3 linked regions of the Sus scrofa genome follow. The protein of the gene in region 2 purifies or fractionates together with the protein of the main gene of each other region. This does not show direct contact. Links are inferred from orthologs where the notes say so. Each region holds a gene or a part of one and is shown on either strand. Other genes may lie near its edges. The genes, in order: RHOC, ARHGDIA and EZR.

Region 1 (6,470 bases), on a different chromosome or scaffold from region 2:
GGTAGCTCCCCCACTCTGCCCTTGTTCCAGCCACTCAATGCCCTCGTCCTGCATCCACCTCAGCCCATACCTCCCAGGTGTATTTAGGTGGCTCTACCTGCATATCCCAAGCAAACCTTTATTGTAAGAAGCCAGCTCCCTGAGGGCAGAGATTTTCTGATTCATCTTTCTAGCCCCAACATCAAACAGTGGGCAATGGATAAGCTGCCAAGTGCCCTTGGACAGGTCACTTTGTCCTCTGACAGTTTCATCATATACTGGCTCAGACACTAGGGCCCGTTTGGTTCTCCCTCCCTCACCATGGTGTCGACACAGGGGGTAGGAAGTCACAGGGAGTCAACAGGAGAAGGCTTCTTTACCAGCCTGTCAGCCCTCACGGGGGTCCTTCCTCCTCTGCCTGGCAGCCACACTCACCTGCTTCATCTTGGCCAGCTCCCTCCGTGTGTGCTCATCTTGCCTCAGGTCCTTCTTATTTCCCACTAGGATGATGGGCACATTGGGGCAGAAGTGCTTCACTTCCGGGGTCCACTTCTCAGGGATGTTTTCTGTGCAGACACATCCCGACAGGGGTCAGTGCCCCCACTTAGGCTAGAGGGCTCCCCAGGGCCCCCTGTCTCCCCAAGGCAGCCCCTTTCACAGCTCAAAACCCCTCTCCCTCACAGCACACACCCTCCCAAGTCCTCTAAAGGCCATAGTAACCACAGGAGGAGGCCAAGGGGCTCCCCGGCACCTCCCCCCAGCCTCCGAAAAGGGTTCAAATGAACCAAGGCAGGAGCTCCCTCCCACTGGTGGATTCAAAGGGATTCTCAATCCCGTCCCTCCAACAAGCTCACCCAGACTGTCGGGGCTGTCAATGGAGAAGCACATGAGGATGACGTCAGTGTCCGGGTAGGAGAGAGGCCGCAGGCGATCATAGTCTTCCTGCCCTGCTGTGTCCCACAGGGCCAGCTCCACCTGACACACAGGGCCAGTGCTTCGCTAGCCTGAGGGCCCCAGGCACGCCCCAGGCACACCCCCGCACGCCCTGCCACCCAGGTGTCCTCTCTGAAATCCTGGTCCTTTAGGTTCACTGGGCACCTACTGAGCACCTACTACATGCAAGGGATAGTCCTCATCCCAGCCACACAACATAAGGTGAGTTCAACCCTGAGACAATGTGTTTGGTCTTTGTGCAGTGTGAACTGCCATTGTGAGCACCACTGTTTTATTTCATCTTCACTGAAACTCTTTGAAAGAGGCCCTACTGTTATTCCCATTTTATAGTTGGGGTGGGGTCAGGGCTCAAGCCCAGAGACCAAGGGACTGGGCCCAGGTTAGAGCGCATGTGTAAAGAACCAGGAGGCTGGATTTCCAGGGACGGCAGTTGCACTTCCTCACTTCACTGCTTTCAGCCGGGAGAGGGGAGCAAGGGTGTGGGTCGGGGGAGAGGAGGGCCATCCCAGGCTCCTAAGTGCTGGGGGCGGGGTGCCGAGGCGCGATGAGCAGAGGCTCCTGGCCTTTACCTGCTTGCCGTCCACCTCGATGTCTGCGATGTAGTTCTCAAAGACGGTGGGGACGTAGACCTCTGGGAACTGATCCTTGCTGAAGACGATGAGGAGACAGGTCTTCCCACAGGCCCCGTCCCCCACAATCACTAGCTTCTTTCGGATGGCAGCCATGGCTGGGGCTAGCAAAGAAGAGGCAGTGGGGATGTTGGGGAAAGCCACGAAGTCCAAAAACACGTCTCTAGGGCCCCCCAAGACCTCCCTGGAAACCACGGAAGGAAGGGAGGGAGAGGGGCTTTTTGCTCAGGCACCTTCTTGCCAAGAACCAATTGTTGAAGCAACTGAGCTTGAAATTCTTAATCTCAGGGTCAGAGACAGACCTGCCCCCATGGGTTAGAACACAGAAGTGGGAGGTGGAAGAACCACCCACTTGGGAGCCAGAAAACATGAGTTCTAATCTAATCCACTCACCAAGTGTGGGCCCCTGGACACCTAGACAGGTGTCTGAAGCAGCAGCTTTTATTTGCTCTACATAGCAGGGTATCAAGTCAGACTTATTTGTTACCAGGATCTTGATACTTTTCAAATTTAATTATCTCAAATGTCCAATCTAGAACACACTGTCCCTCACTCAGCACAGTCATGCGTGCCCAGAGAAAAACCAAGAGTCCCCACCAATATGGGTGGGTAGGGAAGGAATATTTACCACGCCCCTGGGTGCCAGGCACTATGGGGGGGCGCACTGACAAAAATCACCTCCCTCAGCCCCCAGAAGCCTGGAAGGTTGAAAGTGGGCTTCCCATTTTGACAAACTAGGAAAGTGTGGCTCAGAAGGTTTAAGACAATGTGTATGGAGCCGTGGCAGTGATGGCAGTCAAAGCAGGGCAGGAGACACTAGTCTGCTGCCTTCTCTACATATCACCCCAGAGGTGGGAAGGAGAGCAGACGGATGGAGGGCAGTGGCAGCAGCCAGCCGGTGTCCCTGGCCCACCCCATCCTGGTCCCCAGAGCCCCAAGGCACACAAAGGAGGCTCAGTCTGGGCAGTGCCCACAGCCCACATTCGGGCAGCCTGCCTTCCTCCCCCCTTCCTCCTGGGCCTGGCAGCAACACTGGGTCACTCAGCCCCAGGCAGGGGACAATGACCACACTGTAGGGAGCCACACATCTACCACAGCAGAGGGACTGAGAATAATCCACTAGGGAATCACCTCCACCCACTCCCTGGAACAGCCCCTTCCTCCCCTCTGTCCAGCTCACCCCAAGGCCCTGCCCACCCCTCCCTGTGACTCAGGGCAAGGAGTCAGCTTCCCGGGGTTTCCAGTGTCTCCCGCCCCCGACACACACCAAAGAGCATCTGCACAGTTCATCACACCTTCCTAGCTTCCCTGCCCCTGAGCTGAGCCTCACTTCCTCCTTCCCTGGGGAGAGGAGCCGACCTCCAGCCGGCTGGAGTTCCCAGGCTGAGGCCTGGGAGGAAGAGAGGGCGGGCTCTGGAGCTGAGATGAAGTCGAGGCTGCTGGGGGGGGCGGCTAGAGTCAGTGCTGGGAGGAGCCCCAAAAAAGAGACAAATGAGTCCCAGCACCAACCAGGCAGGGAGCAGTTAAGAAAGGAGGAGATGGTAACCCGATCTCTGCCCCAAACCTGGCTTTTTCTCTCAGTCCCACATCCTGTCGTTCTAGACTCAACTCCTTCACTCTCCCCACACCAGCATCACTTCACACCCCTGCCTTGGTCTGTCTTTTAAGAGGCGAATATCCCAGCCCAAGACAAGTTTTCTTCCACAGTGGGATCCTGGGTGGCCTCCCTCCCCTACACAAACACACACACACACACACACACAACTGGGATGAGGGGAAGTGGATATGAGTCAGAGGGAATTTATAGGAGTTGAGAGTGCACAGCCACTCTCCCCACCACAACAGGGGCTCCCCCTGACACCCCAAAAGACAAACAAGAAGGCATTCACCCTGCCAGCAGATCCCTTCCAAAAATGGAAACCATCCTTCAGAAAAGGGGGGAGTGTCCCTGGAAACTCTACCCAGGTGACCAAAACTCGCTTACCTGCTCCCACAAGTTCCATTGGTCCAGCGGTGGGAAAACAGGCTGGGGTGGCCCCAACCCGGGCAGGGCCCTGCTGATGGAGGGCTGGAGGGCATTCACCACTGGGGTGACTGCCAGTTGCTTAGGCATGAATGTGCCACTGCCCACCCCCAGCAGGACAGTTTAGGTGGCACCAGATGGTGGGGGGCAGAGGCCAGAACTCCGGGGCAAGAGCATGCATTAAATTACCTGGAGCCCCCAGCTCAATCATAAGACTTTCCCTTCAAGCTCAGTAGAGTAGTTGGCCCAGGCCACCAGGCCCAAGGCCAAGATGGCAAGGACAACAGCTCCCTGTGAGAGGCGGCCCCTGAAGAACTGCCCCACTGACCCTCAGAGAGGCAACCAAACCCCACACTGGACTGGAATGGAACCTGAACTCCTGGGGCCTTCCTTGGGACTAAACAGCTGCCCTCTCCTCCATCCTGTAGATTCCCAGATGAACCAGGGGCTGCAGTACCCTGCTGGCCACCCCTGAGGTCCAGGGAAGAAATCAGATACGTCCTCCTGAACGTGAAAACTAGAAGTGATGGCAGGACTCAGCCTTGGGGCCTCCAGCCCAAACCCCCAGGACACTCTCTAGCCGGGTTGGGAAGTGTGAAGGCGGGTGGGGGGGTTGGAAGGGAGGAGATTCTTGAACTCACACACACACGCACGAGCTGGATCCTTCCCAATCTCCCCTACCTCCCACTCCAGGCCGACTCCAGAAACCATCTAGGGCGACGGCCAGACCCCCGGAACAGTGGCCGCCCCCACGGTCACACCCAGCCCCTATTCCCGCCACTCCACCAGCCCGGCGAGGGGAATTCCCTCCTCCATCCGGACTCGGACCGGGACCCACACCCCAGCCCCGGTCCACAGCGGGCCGCCGGGCCTGGAAACTAGAGCGTCTGGCCTGGGGCTTCCTCGCAGAGACCCAAGTTGCCCCATTTCCCCTCGCCCGGCCGGGCAGGTTCCGGGAAGTCGGGAGGGGAAGGCAAGGGACTCCGGCTTGGACACCAAGAGACGACAGGCCCTGCGGGGCAATTCCCGGGGCGCCTCACGGCGGCCCAGGAGGGCAGGGAGGGGCCGAGCCCGGCCGACCCCCGCGCCGCCCAGGCGCCGCGTCCAAGGGGAGGGCAGGCGGCCCGTACTCGGGCCAAAGCCCCTCCTCCCCGGCCGGCGCCCCGAGCTCCGGCCAAGCGGAGAAGGGGGAAAGTGCTCTGCCGGGGACGAGTTCCCAGGACAACCCCGCCGCCCCCAGCCCTAACCCGAGGTACCTTCCGCTCCACCGCTCCCAGCTGCGCGGCCGGTGCCGGAGGCAGACTGACCCGAGGGGCACCGCCCCGCCCTCCTTCTTCGCCGCGGCGGGAGGGGCGACTCGCGGGAGGGGCGGGCCCGCAGGGGGAGGGGCGGGCCGGGCGGCCCTAGGCTCCGCCCGCCCCCCGCCCCCGCGGGTCGCTGAGCGCAGGCCGCGGGGGCCGGGGTGGGGGGGCGGTCCCGGGTGCCGGCCGGGGGCTCGGGAAAGAGGCCCAGGCTGTGGAGGCGTGGGCGGCGGGGCACAGCCGACGGGACCCTGAAGGACTCTGCCTCTGCCCCGCCTTCCAGCTCCTAGGGGAGAACCGGTATCGGGAAAGTTGAGAGGCGCTCGGGGTGGAGTCAGGAAAGGGCCGCTGCTGCCCTCCTGTGGCCAACTGGCCACCCGCGTCTACACCACCCGGGGCTTCGCGGGACTAGAAAGGAGTCTTTGGGGACGCCCGAGGAGAGGGCCGCGGAAGATGCCCACCCTCTGTTCCTAGAATCACTGCGGAGTAAGTACAGTCCACTATCATCCTCTAGCCTTGGAGACTTTTCAGAACCTTTGAGATTCAAGGCACCTGGTTCCACCTCCCAGTTCCCTTCGTTTCTCCCTGCCTGGAGTTTCCAACTCCTACCCATCCCTCAAAAGGCAGTCCTGGAAATCCTTCCGGATCCCCAGCTTTGAATTCAGTTCTCGCCCCCACTGTATTATTTCTGTGCTGTTAGGGACACCTAGCCGGGTTCGACTTGTGCACCGGGTGTTTACCAACAGGTGTATTTCCTTCCCTGAAAGGTGCCTGAGGAGGTGGGTGGAAGATGAGGAAGTCTACTCACATTTTATTAGCTTGGGATCGTACAATACATAGCTTTTAACATTCATCACAAATCTTCGGAATAAGTATATCCATCCCCTTTTGCCTGTAAGGAAACTGAGGCTCAAGGAAGTTAAGCGGCTTGCCCAAAATTTGCCATTTGTATGTGGCAGAGCAAGCACTTCCTGGTCAGCCCTGTCTGGCTCCAAGCTGGTCCCTCTCCCAGTTGCCTACTGTGATCCTCCAATCTATGCCTCTCCTGTCTGGCACAGTGTGTGGCACGTAAATAGGTTTTCAACAGATCTTTGCTGAATGAATCAATGAATGAATGAATGAATGTTAGAAGTCAAGCATACCTTAAAGATCTGAAAAGCAACTCATATATTTGCTAAATGAGGAAACTGAGGTCCAGAGCTGTGTGGTCCCCAGGCCTCTTAGCTGACTCAATAAATTGAGCTATGTGCTCAGTTGAGGTCGATTTCTGCCTTCAAAGAAGGTACAATCTAAATTCAGAATGCAGACAACTTAAAGATAGCTCATGGCTTTTGAACTCTTGTTACATGGACCTGGCTCCGCATACGTGAACTCCTTTCGTCATGCTCAGAGAGACGGCAGACCTAGTAATGGGTTTGGCACCAGGACCCAAACATCAGGACTCTCAAGCTCCTGCTCTTAACTGTTATTCTGTACCAGCTCCTTATAGAGACAGTTTTAGTACAGGAGGTAAGCACTGTAGTGGGGGCGTGTGTGGACTGTGGAAGGATAGGTGAAGTGTTCAGGATAAGGCGATGTGTAGAT
Region 2 (6,477 bases):
CCCTGCGTCTGCTGTGGACTCTCCAACCAGGTCCCTCTCCTTTGGGGCTGGAAGTGTTTCCTCTGAAGGCTCGGACAGCGCTGGCGACCGTGGTGCAGGGGCCCGCTTGGGGCAGTGGACACGCAATGGGCCCAGGGCCTGCCTGCACCCACATCCCCCGCAGGACCTGCCAAGCCTCACGGCAGCACTGGCCTCACGGGCTGCTGTGACCGAGAAAAGATTTTAAACCCAGCCTCTTTCAACAGCCGCAGCAGCAGCAGCCACTGCTCCTGGCCCCTGGCCACCCCGTGGGTGCCCTGGAGTCACCCCCCCCCTCCCTTCCCCTTTGGGAGACGAGTAGCAGACACCCTGGCTCCTTAGGGGGAGTTTATTTCCCGGTCAGAAAAGGAGAAGCAGGGACAGGCTCCTGTGCGTTCTAGGCCAGGGGCCTGACCAGGGAGGGGGTGTGGGGGCGGCAGAGGGGACGGCTCCAGCTGTGCAAGCTTGGTCCCACAGTTGTCCTGGCTGGGTCCAGGAAGGGCCTGGCTGGGGATGGTGGCACCAAGCCTGGGGGCAAGGCGGCAGGCCAGTGGGCCCAGAGGACGGCACGTATGGAGGCAAGAAATACTGACAGGCCAGGCAGGCGACTCGAGGCCGGCAGGCCCAGGTGGGACAAGTAAGGCTTGGCCACTGGCTCCGTCGGCCAAGGGCCCTCTGCCGGGGCCTGGGCTCCAGGCACTGCCCACGGGCCAGAGAAGGCAGAGGCGGGAGGACACCCAGCCTCCCAGATGGGAGTGGAAGCCACTGGAGTTTTGGCAATTTGGCTTTCCCGAGCCCCAGGAGCCGTCCCACAGCGCTGGCCGGGGAAGGGGGCCGGCCAGGCCCGGGCAGACTGGGGAGCAGCACACCCCACACACCTCCCCGGGCCACAGGGAGCGCGGACAGGGCAGGGACCGGGGGAGACCACATGCTCATGCAGACACGGGGTTAGAGGTTAGGGCCGCCCCCCCAGCACGCGTTCACATGTTAAGGCATCATGGTTAGACGGTCACTGACAGCGGTGGATGGACTGACCGGGGAGAAGTGAAAGCGGGAGGACAACCGGCCCCGCCAGGCCCTACGCGGTACAGCCCGCCCCCGCCGGGAAGGGGGCCACGGTGGGAGCCAGGGCGACTGGAGGCCCAGGGACCCGGGCACCCAGAGCTCCCACGCGATGCCCGACTCTCCTGGGGGAAGCCAGGGCCTCGGGTCGGGTCAGGAAGGTGGGGACTTCGAGGACACCGAAGGGGAGACAAGGCCTGGGAGGAGCCCACCCCCCCCAGCACAGGCGGAAGCAGCAACGACACTAGACCACCGAGGCGGCTGGGTCTGCGGGCTGGAAGGGTGGAGGGGCGGGCGGCCAGGAGGCAGACGGGGAGAGGCGGCAGTGTGGGTGGCCCTGGCGGCACTTTGGTCTGGGGTCCGGGGGATGGGGGGGGTGGGGGGGCACGTCCTCGACCTCGGCCGCCCTGCCCGCCTCCCTCCGGCCGCAGCTCAGTCCTTCCACTCCTTCTTGATGGTGAGGTTCCACTCCCAGGACAGGTGGTCGGTCCTGTCGTCGTCTGTGAAGCGCGACTTGATGCTGTAGCTGCCTCGAGCCAGCATGCCCTTGGGCGCCTCCTCCATGGGCGTCAGGAACTCATACTCCTCCGCCCGGGGCCCGTAGCTCCCCACCATGTAATCGGTCTTGTCGACTGCGATGCAGGGAACACAGCCGTCAGGAGGCAGCTCTGCTCCCCACCCCCCGGGTCTCCCTCCCTCCTGGGGGCTGGGGGCCCCGCTCACTCACTCTTGACCCCCTTCCTGTACGTGTGCTGGATGTACTTCATGCCCGACACGATCTCTCGGTTCACCTGCAGGGAGGCACCCCGAGCAGGGCTCAGCGAGGCTTTCCCACCCAGGCCCCGCACCTCCCCGACGCCGGCGCCTTACCCGGAAAGAGATCTTTATCCGGTATTCCACACCCTCCTTCAGCACAAAGGATTGCTTCTTGAAACTCTCCAGATCTCCTGAATTTGAGAGAAAGACCATGCTAGGAAGTTCACCCAAAGGAAGTCACCTCCCACCATCCTGGGCACCCCAGACGCAAGACTGGAAAAGCCACAACCCCTGTAAGAGGACTCGGCTGCACTTCTTGTGCTCCCCAGCAGAGGGCGCCAGCAGCCCGAGAAACTATTTTTAGCGGAAGCAGCCGACCGCTGCGGCCCCAGCCAGGAACCTCGGAGAGGCCACTCACCTGTCAGGTCCAGCTCTAGAGGCCCTGGGGCAGTGCTACACACCAGGGTCAGGCGGGTCACCACGACATTGGGGACGTTGGGGTCTGCAAAGTGATCGCAAGTTAGAATTCTGCGGGGGGGGGGGGGGGGGGGTAAATAGCGGCAGACACCCAGGAAAGCCACGGGTACCCGCGCTCCTGTCCACTCACCAGCAGACACGGCCACGCGGCCCAACAGGGCCTCCTTGTACTTGCGCAAACTCTCGTCGTCCTTGTCCAGCTCCTGGATCTCCTGGATGCTCTTCTGGGCCGGGGGCTTGTAGTTGACCGAGTGCTCGTCCTCCTCGTTCTCAGCTGCAATCTGTGCCAGCTGCTCGGCGGTGGGCTCCTGCTCAGCCATGCTCTCTTCTAGCGGGGTCTGGGACACCTGTGGGCAGGGTGGCATGGGCTGTGGCAGCCTGGAGGAACCCAGCGTCGCCCCTTCTAGCCCTTCTGCAGGTCCCACTGGTGATCAGTGTTGGATCTTCCTCCACAGGTGGCCAAGCCTCCATGTGGGCCCAAGAGCAGGCGCATCCTCTGTAACAGGAAGGCCATGACAGCCAGAACGTCGAAAAGGGCCCGGAAACAGTCTCCCGAGGCCCAGAAGGGCCACCTTCACCTCCTCATCCTGCCCACCTCAGGGGACCCAATTCCAGGTCCACAGTATCCAGGGCTAGAGAGGCCCCAGCCTGCCCCTTGCAAAGACCAGGGACAGCTCCCCTGCTTCCAGGAAGCAGCAGCACCCCAGACCTACCTAGCAGGGTCAGGACCAAGTCCTGCTGCTTGTCCTGAATCGCCCAGGGGCTCACCTCAAGAGATCCCTCCTACTGACTATTGCTGATCGGTCTGTTCCTTCAGGCCTGTCCTAAATGTCTGTGCAGGCTACAAGTTAGTTCTTTCTCACCCTACAAACACAAGGCTCTCCTAAGGCTCAGATGACAGGGCTAGCCTGAGTCGCACAGATAAATCCTGAAATGGACGAGGGACCCTAAATGTCTGCCAACCTTATCTCCAGCTGTGAGGGTTCAGAGACCTAGAATTTGGAAACTGCTCTAGACGTGTGGGAATTTCAGGAGCCCCCTTCGGGATCCTCGCCCAGAAGAGCTCGCAGCAGTGCCATCAAAGAGAGGAGCAGTGCATAGGGCAGCCACTGGTCTTCTTTCACTAAGAATGACCATCGCATACCCCCCCCGGAATCCCCGAGCAGTATCTGAAACCCGCTCGGACCCGACTCGGTGGTGTGGGAGGTGGGTCAGGGCCGCCGTTGTCCGTAAAGACAGCCAAAGCCGGGATGTGCGCGCGGACAAGATCTCACAAAGGGCCGCGGGGGACCCGGAACCACCCGGCCGCCGAAGGCAGGGTGGGGCCCGGCCCGTATTTCCAGACCTCCTAGTCGCTTCCTCTGGAATTCCTCTAGAAAGCTCACGCCCTAACGCCACTCAAGCGCGGCCGCAGGCGACAGGATCCTCTAAGTGCGATCGCGCGGCGCGCACTTCCTGCAGGGCCCGCAATCTGGACAGGGCGCGGCAGGCGCGCGGGGTGGGGCGCGGGGGCCACACGGCTCAGGCGAGTGGGCGTCCGGCCGGAGCAGGCTGGCGTGCACCGGCGAGGAGGGAGCCGCTGAGCACGAGCTGCGACCACAAAAGAGGCCTGCACCTCTGTGCATCCCCAGCTCCCGCCCCCGGCCCCTACGCCCCCACCTCTCGCCTTCCAGCTCCCTCGCCGCCGCCTCCCTCCTCCGGCGTCCCCGATTCGCACGTGGGCTGCCCCGGCGCCCCGGCCGCCGCCCGCTGTCACCGCCGCCCCCGCCCAGCGCAGACCCTTCGGGTGGGCAGGCAGGAGGGCGGGGCGGGCGGGGCGGGCGGCGGGAACAAAGGCGCGGCCCCCCGCCTCCCCCTCCGCGGCTGCCCCGCCCGCTAGCCCACCGCACCAGCCGGCCCCGCCGCCCGCGCTCACCGGAGCCTCGACCGCGCCGCTCTCGCGCTCCCTCCCGCACGGAATGACGAACGTCGCCGCCCCACCCGCGCGCGCCCGGCCGGCCACTTCCGGGATCACGCGACTTCCGCTCGCGCCGGGCGGGCTCCGGAGAGCGCATGCGTGCGCGGGGGCTGCTGGGAGCGCGCCGCGGCCATCTTGAGATCCCGGCTTGTGGGCGCGTCCCGCGTGGGCAGCGAGCGGGGAGCCCTGTGGAGGCCGGTAGGGTTGGGGTTCTGCGCCCTTTGGCACCTGCGTTTCCTGGTCCGGGGCGTCCCCGCGGGTCAACCCGCAAGCTAAAGGGGCGAGGCAGTGGCTCGCGGACGGTGGGCGTGGCACGCGAGGCGCAGGCGTGTCTCTCGGGCACGCAGCCGTCACACCGCGGGGACGCGCTAGTCGGGCAGCCCCCGTCCCCGAAACCAGCGCGCCGTCCCTGCCTTTCCTTCCTTTCCAGACCCGTCAGCGTTTGGCCGCCCTGCCGGGAGCGCTCCTTCACGAAGAGAAACTCAGCATCGGGAGCGGCTCTGTGCCGCTCGTGACTCCGGAAGCCCCTGGCTCAGCCGCCACCGTCCCCCGGGGTCTCCACCCGGAGCGCCGGGGCTGGGGGCGCGCGTGATTTGTGGCCGGCGGGATGGAGCCCGCGCTGCCGAGGGCCCCCAGCGCTCGTCTCTCCGCGTGGGGTCCAAGCCCTCCGCTCCACGGCGCGGTCACGTACGCTCACCTGGATGGCGCATCGGCTTGTTAGGCGGTAGAAGCGATAGAACTGCGAAATACTGATCTTAGTATTTTTGGAAATGTCTCAACTTGCGCCAGTTTGGGGAATACTGTCAGCTTTCTGTGTAGAAAGTTGAGCTGGCCAAAGGCAGAGCATTCCAAGCTGGTTGGTTCCTGGGATGTGCTTCGCAGGCGTCCTGTTACTGGAAGCTGCAACGCCAGAGCCGGGCGTCCTGCCTCGCTGCCAAACTGCTTTCCAGTAACCCAAGTGCCTTTTACTTTATTTATTCTTTTTTTTTTTTTTTTTTGTCTTTTTTTTGTCTTTTTGCTATTTCTTTGGGCCGCTCCCGCGGCATATGGAGGTTCCCAGGCTAGGGGTTGAATTGGAGCTGTAGCCACCGGCCTATGCCAGAGCCACAGCAACGCAGGATCCCAGCCGTGTCTGCAACCTACACCACAGCTCACGGCAACGCCGGATCCTTAACCCGCTGAGCGAGGGCAGGGACCGAACTCGCAACCTCATGGTTCCTAGTCGGATTCGTTAACCACTGTGCCACGAGGGGAACTCCTATTTATTCTTTTTTTTTTTTTTTTCTCTCGCTTTTTTTAGGGCCGCAGCCGTGGCATATGGAGGTTCCCAGGCTGCGGGTCACATCAGAGCTACAGCTGCTGGCCTACACCACAGCCACAGCAACACGGGATCCAAGCCTAGTCTGCAACCTACACCACAGGTCAGGGCAACTCCGGATCCCCCTGAGTGAGACCAGGGATCGAACCCAAAACCTCATGGTTCCTAGTCGGATTTGTTTTCGCTGGGTCCCACACCGGGAACTCCCCCAAGTGCTTTTTAAAAAAATACCAGGCTCTTACATACATCGTCTGTTGCTGTGTAAAAGCAGGCCATGAAATTTAGCCACTTGAAACGACCAATTTTATTATTTTGCATAGTGTCCAAGGATCAGGGAGCCCCTCTGCAGGGTAGTTGTGGCTTTGGGTTTTGTATGAGGCTGTGGTCAAGCTGGGAACCAGGGACTTGGTCTTTGGACATCTGCAGGAATTCAAGCTCATGCCTGCGCTGTGGGCAGGAGGCTCGGGTCCTCCCTTTGGGGAGGAGGATTCAGTTCCCTGCTTCCTTCGGCCTCCCTCCCGAGTGAGGCCTCAGAACAAGAGTAAGCTCAAGACACAGCCTTAGTGTCCCTCACAGCGTCGTGTCAGACGTGCCGCCACTGCTGCCTCTCCTGCTGGCGACACAGACCGTGTCTGGTACAATGTGATGGGCGCCCACAGGGGCACCAGAACAAGGGGGCAGCCCCCACGCGAGGTAGTAAGAATGGGGTTAAGAAGCCCAGTGGACCTGCCACCCACTTCTGCAGGTACCAGCTTGTGGCCCGTCTTGTTTGATCTGTGCCCTCCTTTCTCCACATGCAGCAAGTGTGAAGCAAACCCAGAGGCTGTCAGCCCGAGGGCCTTCCACACCCTCTCTCGTGGCATTTTGGCAGCGGCACTCCGCGAGCAAG
Region 3 (6,602 bases), on a different chromosome or scaffold from region 2:
GAAACCACCTAACAAAACTCAGTTTCGGCTTGAACGGCAGCAATCAATAACGCTTTGTTCAAAGGACACAGGTCCAGAGCTCGTTGGTGATGCTTCAGCATCAACATCTAGAGAGGGAGCAAACCACCATCCCAAGAACGAGACTCTCTCCAACAGCCCTGGAAGTTCTCGCGCCTCCGCTGGTAAAGGCTCCTCTCTGCTGTGGGGTGGCCCTCATTCGGTTCACGTGGAGAAAGACTTAAGTCTATTCATTTTTTTGAGGCAAACTCTTCAAGCCCTCCCCCACCAGGTGGAAATTTCCATGGTAAACAGCTGTGGCTTACAGAAAAGACGACCTCCCATTACCACTTGGAAATCAACTGTAAATGTTACATAAAGTATCTTTCAAAACCTCACTCTGGTTGTTGGGACCTTAACATACCAGAATGTCACAAGGGAAGGATGGCTACTGCCCTTCCTTAGCAGTTCAACAGCTGTCTTTGCTTTGGCAGGAGAGTATTTTCTAAGTTTCTGATCCATCGTGAAAGACCATTAAAGCCAAATGAAAACATGCCTGCCCTAAGAAATAAAAAGACCCTTAAAAAAGGACATTCTGACACAGAGTACAACATGGATCAACCAGGAGGACACCGTGCTAAGCGAAAGGAACCAGTCACAAAAGGACACATACGAGTGATCTTAGGTACAGGAGGGACCTGGAGGAGACAGGAGACACCAAGTGGAGGGGTGGTGGCCAGGAGCTGGAGGGAGGGGGAAATGGGAAGTCAGCTTTTGAGGTGCAGTCTGGGGAGATGAAAAGGTTCGGGAGGCGGGGGTGGTGATGGACATACAACTGGAACGTACACACAACTGAACCGTACACTTGAGAATAATTAAGATGGGAAGCTGTGTGTTATGTAAATTGTACTACCAAAAAAAATTAGTGAGAGAATACAAGAAATCACAGAAATAAAAAAGTAGTGACAGGAAATAGGTTTACTGACTCTTTTCTGAGCGGTATTTTAAAAGCTGAACTTTGCATCTTTTCTTCCAGTGAAATAAAGAAAACCACACCACACCAGGAAAGGTAATCTCTGACCACGGCTCTGCAGAACACCGCCCAGGGCTGTGCCCCGAGCAAGGCCTTGTGTTTAGATCTATTTTATGTCACTGGAATTGGAATTATGTCCTTTGGGCTGCCTGCAAATTTGTTCAGAAAAGAAGAATCCTGTGTAGGAAAAAATTTTTCTGCATCATAAATGAATCATCTTGGTGATGTAACTTAGGCAAAAACCCTACTGGTTTCTGAATCTTCTGGCATGTTACTGCAGTAATTTACTTAACCTAACAGTAAGTAAGACTCGATTAATAGAGAACTCCTTTTCAGTCTAAAACTTAATGACAGAAAAACACAATAAGCACTGACTACAGAACCAACCTGTTTGTGGGACTGGAAATAAATTCCATAGGTACCTTTTACTGCCATTTTCAATGAATCCAGATATTCTCTCCATGATTCAAAACTCAAAAACTTTCTCCCCAACATCGAGTCACCAATTCACCTGTGTTAAAGCTGGTAGAATATAACTTTCTAAGAAATGCTGGTTATGAAGAAAACCTGTTTTATTCCCATAACTTAAACAGAAGCCATAAAACCCCAGCCTGCCAGCCATCTACCCGAGAAGGCAAGGTAATCAGATTCAAGGGGACAGCGGTGAGGGGAGCAGCACCCCAGTCAGCTGATGTTTATGATGTGGGCCAGGAGTGCAGGACTGGAGAGGCCAGCAGCCTCCTTATCAAAGGAACTCCAGGGCTGCCTAACTCCATCTGCAATTCAAGTTCATTACTAAACCTCTTTCAGAGATAGGAATCCTGCTGCCACCAGCAAATTCCCGAGTTAACAGAGCACAGCTTCACGGGCCGGTCGTAAAATGGACTGGAACGAAGCTGCCCCCAGAAAGACCGCGTCTTCTCTGCCAGATGCCCTTCAAAGCGCCAAAGAGCCGGTGCATCTGTTTCCAGACACTTGAAGGGACTCGGAATTGGCGCGCTCCGTCGGAAGCCACCTGACTCTCCCTGGGATTTAGACAAGTTTTCAAGAAACTTCCAAGTTGCATTAGAATGCTGTTTTTAAACAAAGCCGCAAAGGGGATTCCAATTTTTACGGGTCGGGGTGTCGCAAACAAAAAGACGGTGGAGAAACGGATCATAATCTTGTTTTCGCCAAGCATTTCACAAAGGACCAACACATGAAAAGAGAGGACACAACTCCCCACCCCCGCCTTCTCATCCGTTTAGCAAAGAACCCTATTCTACAAAAAACTGCCCCCAAACCTCGCCCGGCTAATTCTACTTGAAAATAAAGCCCGAAGCATCCGACCCAGCCCAGAAACTGGGTTACGTACTGGTTTCGGCATTTTCGGTTCCTGATGGGTTTTCCGCAATCCCTGGAAACACAATCTCCAGCAGCAGCTGAAACGGTTCTCCCGACCTGCAGGCAGAGGAAACCCCCTTTAGAGCAGAGCCGCCCGCCTCCTGCTCCCGCCGCCGCGCCCGGGACTCGGCGCCCGCCCCGCGCTGCTGCTTAAGAACCGGCCGGGCGGGCGCCGGGATGAGTCACCGCCCAACCTGCAATTACCACGGGCCGGGCGGGCGGGACTTGCGCGGAGGGGGAGGGCGGGGGGCGACGGGGGGGAGGGGAGGAGGAGAGGGGAGGGGGGAGAGAGGAGGGGGGGAAAGGAGGGGAGGGGGGGAAGAGGGGGGGAGAGGGGAGGGGGCGACTGGGGGGGAGGGGGGCGACTGGGGGGGAGGGGAGGGCGGGGGGGGCGACTGGGGGGAGGGGAGGGCGGGGGGTGCGGCGGGGAGGGGCCGCAGGAACCCGCGGCGAGGGAGCCGGGGCGGGGGGCGGCCGAGGGACTCCTCCCGGCCTCCAGGAAGCCAGCGGGGAGCCCAGGAGACCGACAGCAAGTTTCACTTCGTGAAGCAACCGTTTGCTCCAGGGCTGAAACCGCAACCTTCAAGCCTTTGAGAAACATTTTTTAAAAACTGTCCCCGCCCGGGAACGGCGAGGGCCGCCCGGGCCGGCAAGCGGCGCAGCCCGGGCTCCGCGGGCACTTTGGGAGAGGGACCCGAAGGGGCAAAGTGTAAAGAGGAAGGTCGCGGAGCAGCCGGGGCGGCCACGCGGGCAGGTGAAGCTTCACCTGCTGGGTATCTGGGCCGCAGAGGAAGCGCGCGCTCAGGACCCTGCCCGTTCGAGAGCCCAGGACGCCGAGCCCGGCTGGTGGCCGGGCGGGCATGGCTCCCCTCGCGGACCACCAGCCCGGGGCTCGCGCGCCGGCCGCCCCTCCCCGGACGCGGCCGCCACACCTGCGTGGAGTTCCAGCCACTGACCCCTCCCGGGGAGGGCGAGCCGCCCGCCCGCCAACCCCCGGCCGCACGCCCCGCTCACCCGCGGCTCCTGCAGAGGACCGCTGCGCTCCCGCCGCCTGTGCGCCGTGCAGTGCGCCCGCGGCCGCGCTCCCGAGAGTCCCTGGCGGGGCGGGGTCCCGGGGCCGCGCCCCTGACGGCCCCGCCCTCCCGACCTGCGAGGTGCGCCTCGCGCGCAAGATGGCCGCGGCCGCCGCCCGCCGCCGCCCCCGCCCCTCGCCCCGCCCGCCGCCCCGGGGGCCCCCGAGACGCGGCGAGGGGCGCCTCCGCCTCCCACCCGCCCGGCTGCCTCTGGGCCTCGAGAGACCTTCCCCCTCTCCCTGCCGGTCCCCTGGCGCTTGGAGAAGAACTTTGCCGAATCTGACTCAGCTCCTGGGGGTAGATGTAAAGTGTGAGCTTGTTCCGTAAAGGACCGAGGGAGGCCGGGAAAATGTAAATAAGCCTGGAGGAGCCCACGGCCACCGGCGAGGTGCTGGGCCTTTTGGAGTGGGGCTGCCTCCGTGGTCAGGTCATTTTGCTGTCCTTGCGCCGGGACCTAAGAGGGATTCTGAGAAACTGGGACCTAGCCGCTGTGTCCCCGCGCACGTGGCCGCCCCCACTCTGGGATTCGGTGGAGGACACAACCATTGTAGGGTCTGGTCAATGGACACATTTGTGGCCTGGTTTGATTTGACTAGTACAAGCTTATGGGGGAAAAAAAATCTCCATAGGGAAAAATTCTAGGAATTATTTCAACTATTTTTTTTGCAAATGGTTCTCAAGAGGACATAGTTACACACGCACACGCACTTTGGTGGCCAACAGGATTTGTTGCTCAGGGATTAAGCAGGCTGCCTCTAGAGCAGTGGTTTTCAAAGCACGCTTCCCAGACTAGTAGTTAAGTAACAGCTTCACCTGGGAACTTGCAAAATGGAAATTCACAGGTACTGCCCCGAAACCTCCGGAATCAGAAACTCTAGGGCTGGGGCCCAGCGGGTCGGAAAAACTTCAGGCCTCCAGGTGTTTGCGTTGCAGGCTAAAGGCTGAGACCAGGGACTGTCCTGAATTGCTTTCCTGGGCTCACCACTAACTCCGTTTGAGTTGAGTGAGTTCTTTAACTCCTTGATGAGTTAGAGTTATTTAACACTTTCACATCTGTAAAATGGCATCATTACGGCACCTATTTCATAGGCTTGTTTTGAGGATTAAAGGAGTTAATACCTACCTATACAATGCCTAGAACAGTGCCTGGCGCATGGTAAGCCCTCACATCAATCCTGGGACAGAGATTAACGAGTCCCTTTGGGCAAAGCACCAAACTCGAAGACTCGTTTTCCAATTTGTAGACTAGAGATAAAACAGCAGCCCCGAAACGGACTTGTAGGGATTAAATGAGATAATACATGCAAAGTGTTTAGCACAGTTTTGGCCCCTAGTAATAGCTAACCTGTCCCAGGGTTCTGAGGTACTCCTTGTCACCTCTGACCACCCCCCTTCCTCCTACAGGTCCGGGGTCTTTCAGAAGTCGGGGGGGGGGGTGGAGTAGGGAAGCCTCTTGGAGACGGAGATTTGGTGGCACACTATTTGGGCAAGTCTGCTTCTCCTGAAAAACTGACTTTCTTTTTGAAAATGAAAAGGTAAAGGGAACTGCATTAGGAAGGAAGCTATGAAAGATAGTTAACCCACGATCAAAAAGGCCCAGGTTGGACATGTCATTCGTAACGCACTCTATCTCCTCTTCTTATCGCTGCCTGGAGTCTTGTTAGCCATTTTGGGTCCCCAACTCGGCAGCGGGATATGCCACTAATCTAATTTTTTTTTAATCTCGCCTAGTTTATAGTATATAAGCTTAACTGAGTGTTGGAAATAGCAGTAGCCCAGGACTTCTGGAGCATTTCTGCACTTTACCCTTCAGGGGCATGCTGCAAAATGAAATGGCCTGTGGCAATGCCATAAAAATGAAAAGATCGCAGGTTTCAGAAGCACACAGAGCTAGATCTGAATCCTAGTTCCAGTGCTTACAAGCTGGTTACTTTGAGCAAGTCTCTTAATTCCACTGAGCTCCCACCTCCCCGTCCGCAGAACAGAGATAATAATAGACATATCATGGTGTTCTGGTGTCACAGAACCATATAATGTGAGTTCTCAACTTACTCAAATGCAACTTCTAGGTCTGCTTTTCTTGCATAAGTTTACATAGTAGTCATTTAAAATATGCATTCCTCATGTCTTACGTTCCTGAAAGCATTACACCTTATACTACGTGCTACTATGTAGGTTTTTATTCCCTCGCAAAAACATTTATACTGTACGAGTGTTTTAAAAGGATTTGCCAAGGGTAATTTATTTTCCCCTGACCTTAGAATCTAAGCCTCTCCCAACTGCTGTCCTCCCAACACACAGAAGATGAACTCCAAGGAATTTATGAGTCGCTTAGGATGATGGTACTGAGTCAGGGTGCATTAGAATCACTCGTGGATGCCCCTCTAGGACTTAGAAGTCCATAAGCCTCCGTCTGTAACAAGTCTCCAGGTGAGCCTGAGGTACTCGAGATTGGAGAACACGGGTGCCAGGTGTGGTAGGACTTGGCCAATGCTACTCACCTTGCCTCACCCTTCACCCTTCTTTTGTGAGCTTATTCCCTCATTTTGTAAGTCATGGCCTTGCTCACGTATGCTATCAGTGCCTGGAAGGAAGTGAAGACACCTGGAGCCAGGAAGCTTAGATCCCATCCCTGCTCTTGTTTAGACTAACTATCAACCTTGAACAACTCACACCTCATTTCAGGGTTTCAGCGGGAGGAGGGAAATCATATGTCTACCCATGAGCCCAGGTGAAAGGCTGCTGGCAAATTGCTTGGAGTTCTTCAGACCAGTGTACACAAAGGTGAGTTAGGCAGCCCTCCTGGCAGCTTGGGACACAGGCAAGGATGAGGACTGTCTGCCCAGAATGTCAGCATCCCCTGATTGTAGGCTGGACGGCGGGTCACCTTGGAACCTATCTCCATGCTGGTGCCAGGCTAATCTCAACCAAGAAAAAAGCTCACAAATAGCATGACAGTCTGAGCCTCTGTCGCTTCCAAAGAACAGTCAATAGGGAAATATATAGAGCACTATTGGCAAAACAAAGATTTGTGTTATCTTGCAGGACTCAATAACCTTGGGTGAAAATTCGGGACAGCGGGTGAAAGAGTGCGAGAACGAATAAGGACGCGGCCT

What was found.
Region 1: the proteins of ARHGDIA (region 2) and RHOC purify together in Homo sapiens (affinity purification with mass spectrometry; 4 studies listed by BioGRID and IntAct, with this or other methods). This does not show direct contact. The link is inferred for Sus scrofa from reciprocal best matches to the Homo sapiens genes ARHGDIA and RHOC.
Region 3: the proteins of ARHGDIA (region 2) and EZR purify together in Homo sapiens (co-purification; 3 studies listed by BioGRID and IntAct, with this or other methods). This does not show direct contact. The link is inferred for Sus scrofa from reciprocal best matches to the Homo sapiens genes ARHGDIA and EZR.

The regions. Positions count from the first base shown.
Region 1 is NC_010446.5:107,730,226-107,736,695, reverse strand, and holds the start of RHOC (rho-related GTP-binding protein RhoC), read right to left. Parts: upstream 3,795-6,470; 5' UTR 3,566-3,794; coding exon 3,547-3,565; intron 1,667-3,546; coding exon 1,503-1,666; intron 955-1,502; coding exon 834-954; intron 546-833; coding exon 415-545; intron 1-414. UniProt on the Homo sapiens protein: Regulates a signal transduction pathway linking plasma membrane receptors to the assembly of focal adhesions and actin stress fibers.
Region 2 is NC_010454.4:1,111,193-1,117,669, reverse strand, and holds ARHGDIA (rho GDP-dissociation inhibitor 1), read right to left. Parts: upstream 4,276-6,477; 5' UTR 4,229-4,275; intron 3,997-4,228; exon of another isoform or gene 3,973-3,996; intron 3,899-3,972; exon of another isoform or gene 3,659-3,898; intron 2,810-3,658; exon of another isoform or gene 2,679-2,809; coding exon of another isoform or gene 2,634-2,678; coding exon 2,444-2,633; intron 2,339-2,443; coding exon 2,255-2,338; intron 2,028-2,254; coding exon 1,951-2,027; intron 1,872-1,950; coding exon 1,808-1,871; intron 1,713-1,807; coding exon 1,513-1,712; 3' UTR 354-1,512; downstream 1-353. UniProt on the Homo sapiens protein: Controls Rho proteins homeostasis. Regulates the GDP/GTP exchange reaction of the Rho proteins by inhibiting the dissociation of GDP from them, and the subsequent binding of GTP to them.
Region 3 is NC_010443.5:8,400,355-8,406,956, reverse strand, and holds the start of EZR (ezrin), read right to left. Parts: upstream 3,596-6,602; 5' UTR 3,428-3,595; intron 2,471-3,427; 5' UTR 2,397-2,470; coding exon 2,385-2,396; intron 1-2,384. UniProt on the Homo sapiens protein: Probably involved in connections of major cytoskeletal structures to the plasma membrane. In epithelial cells, required for the formation of microvilli and membrane ruffles on the apical pole. Along with PLEKHG6, required for normal macropinocytosis.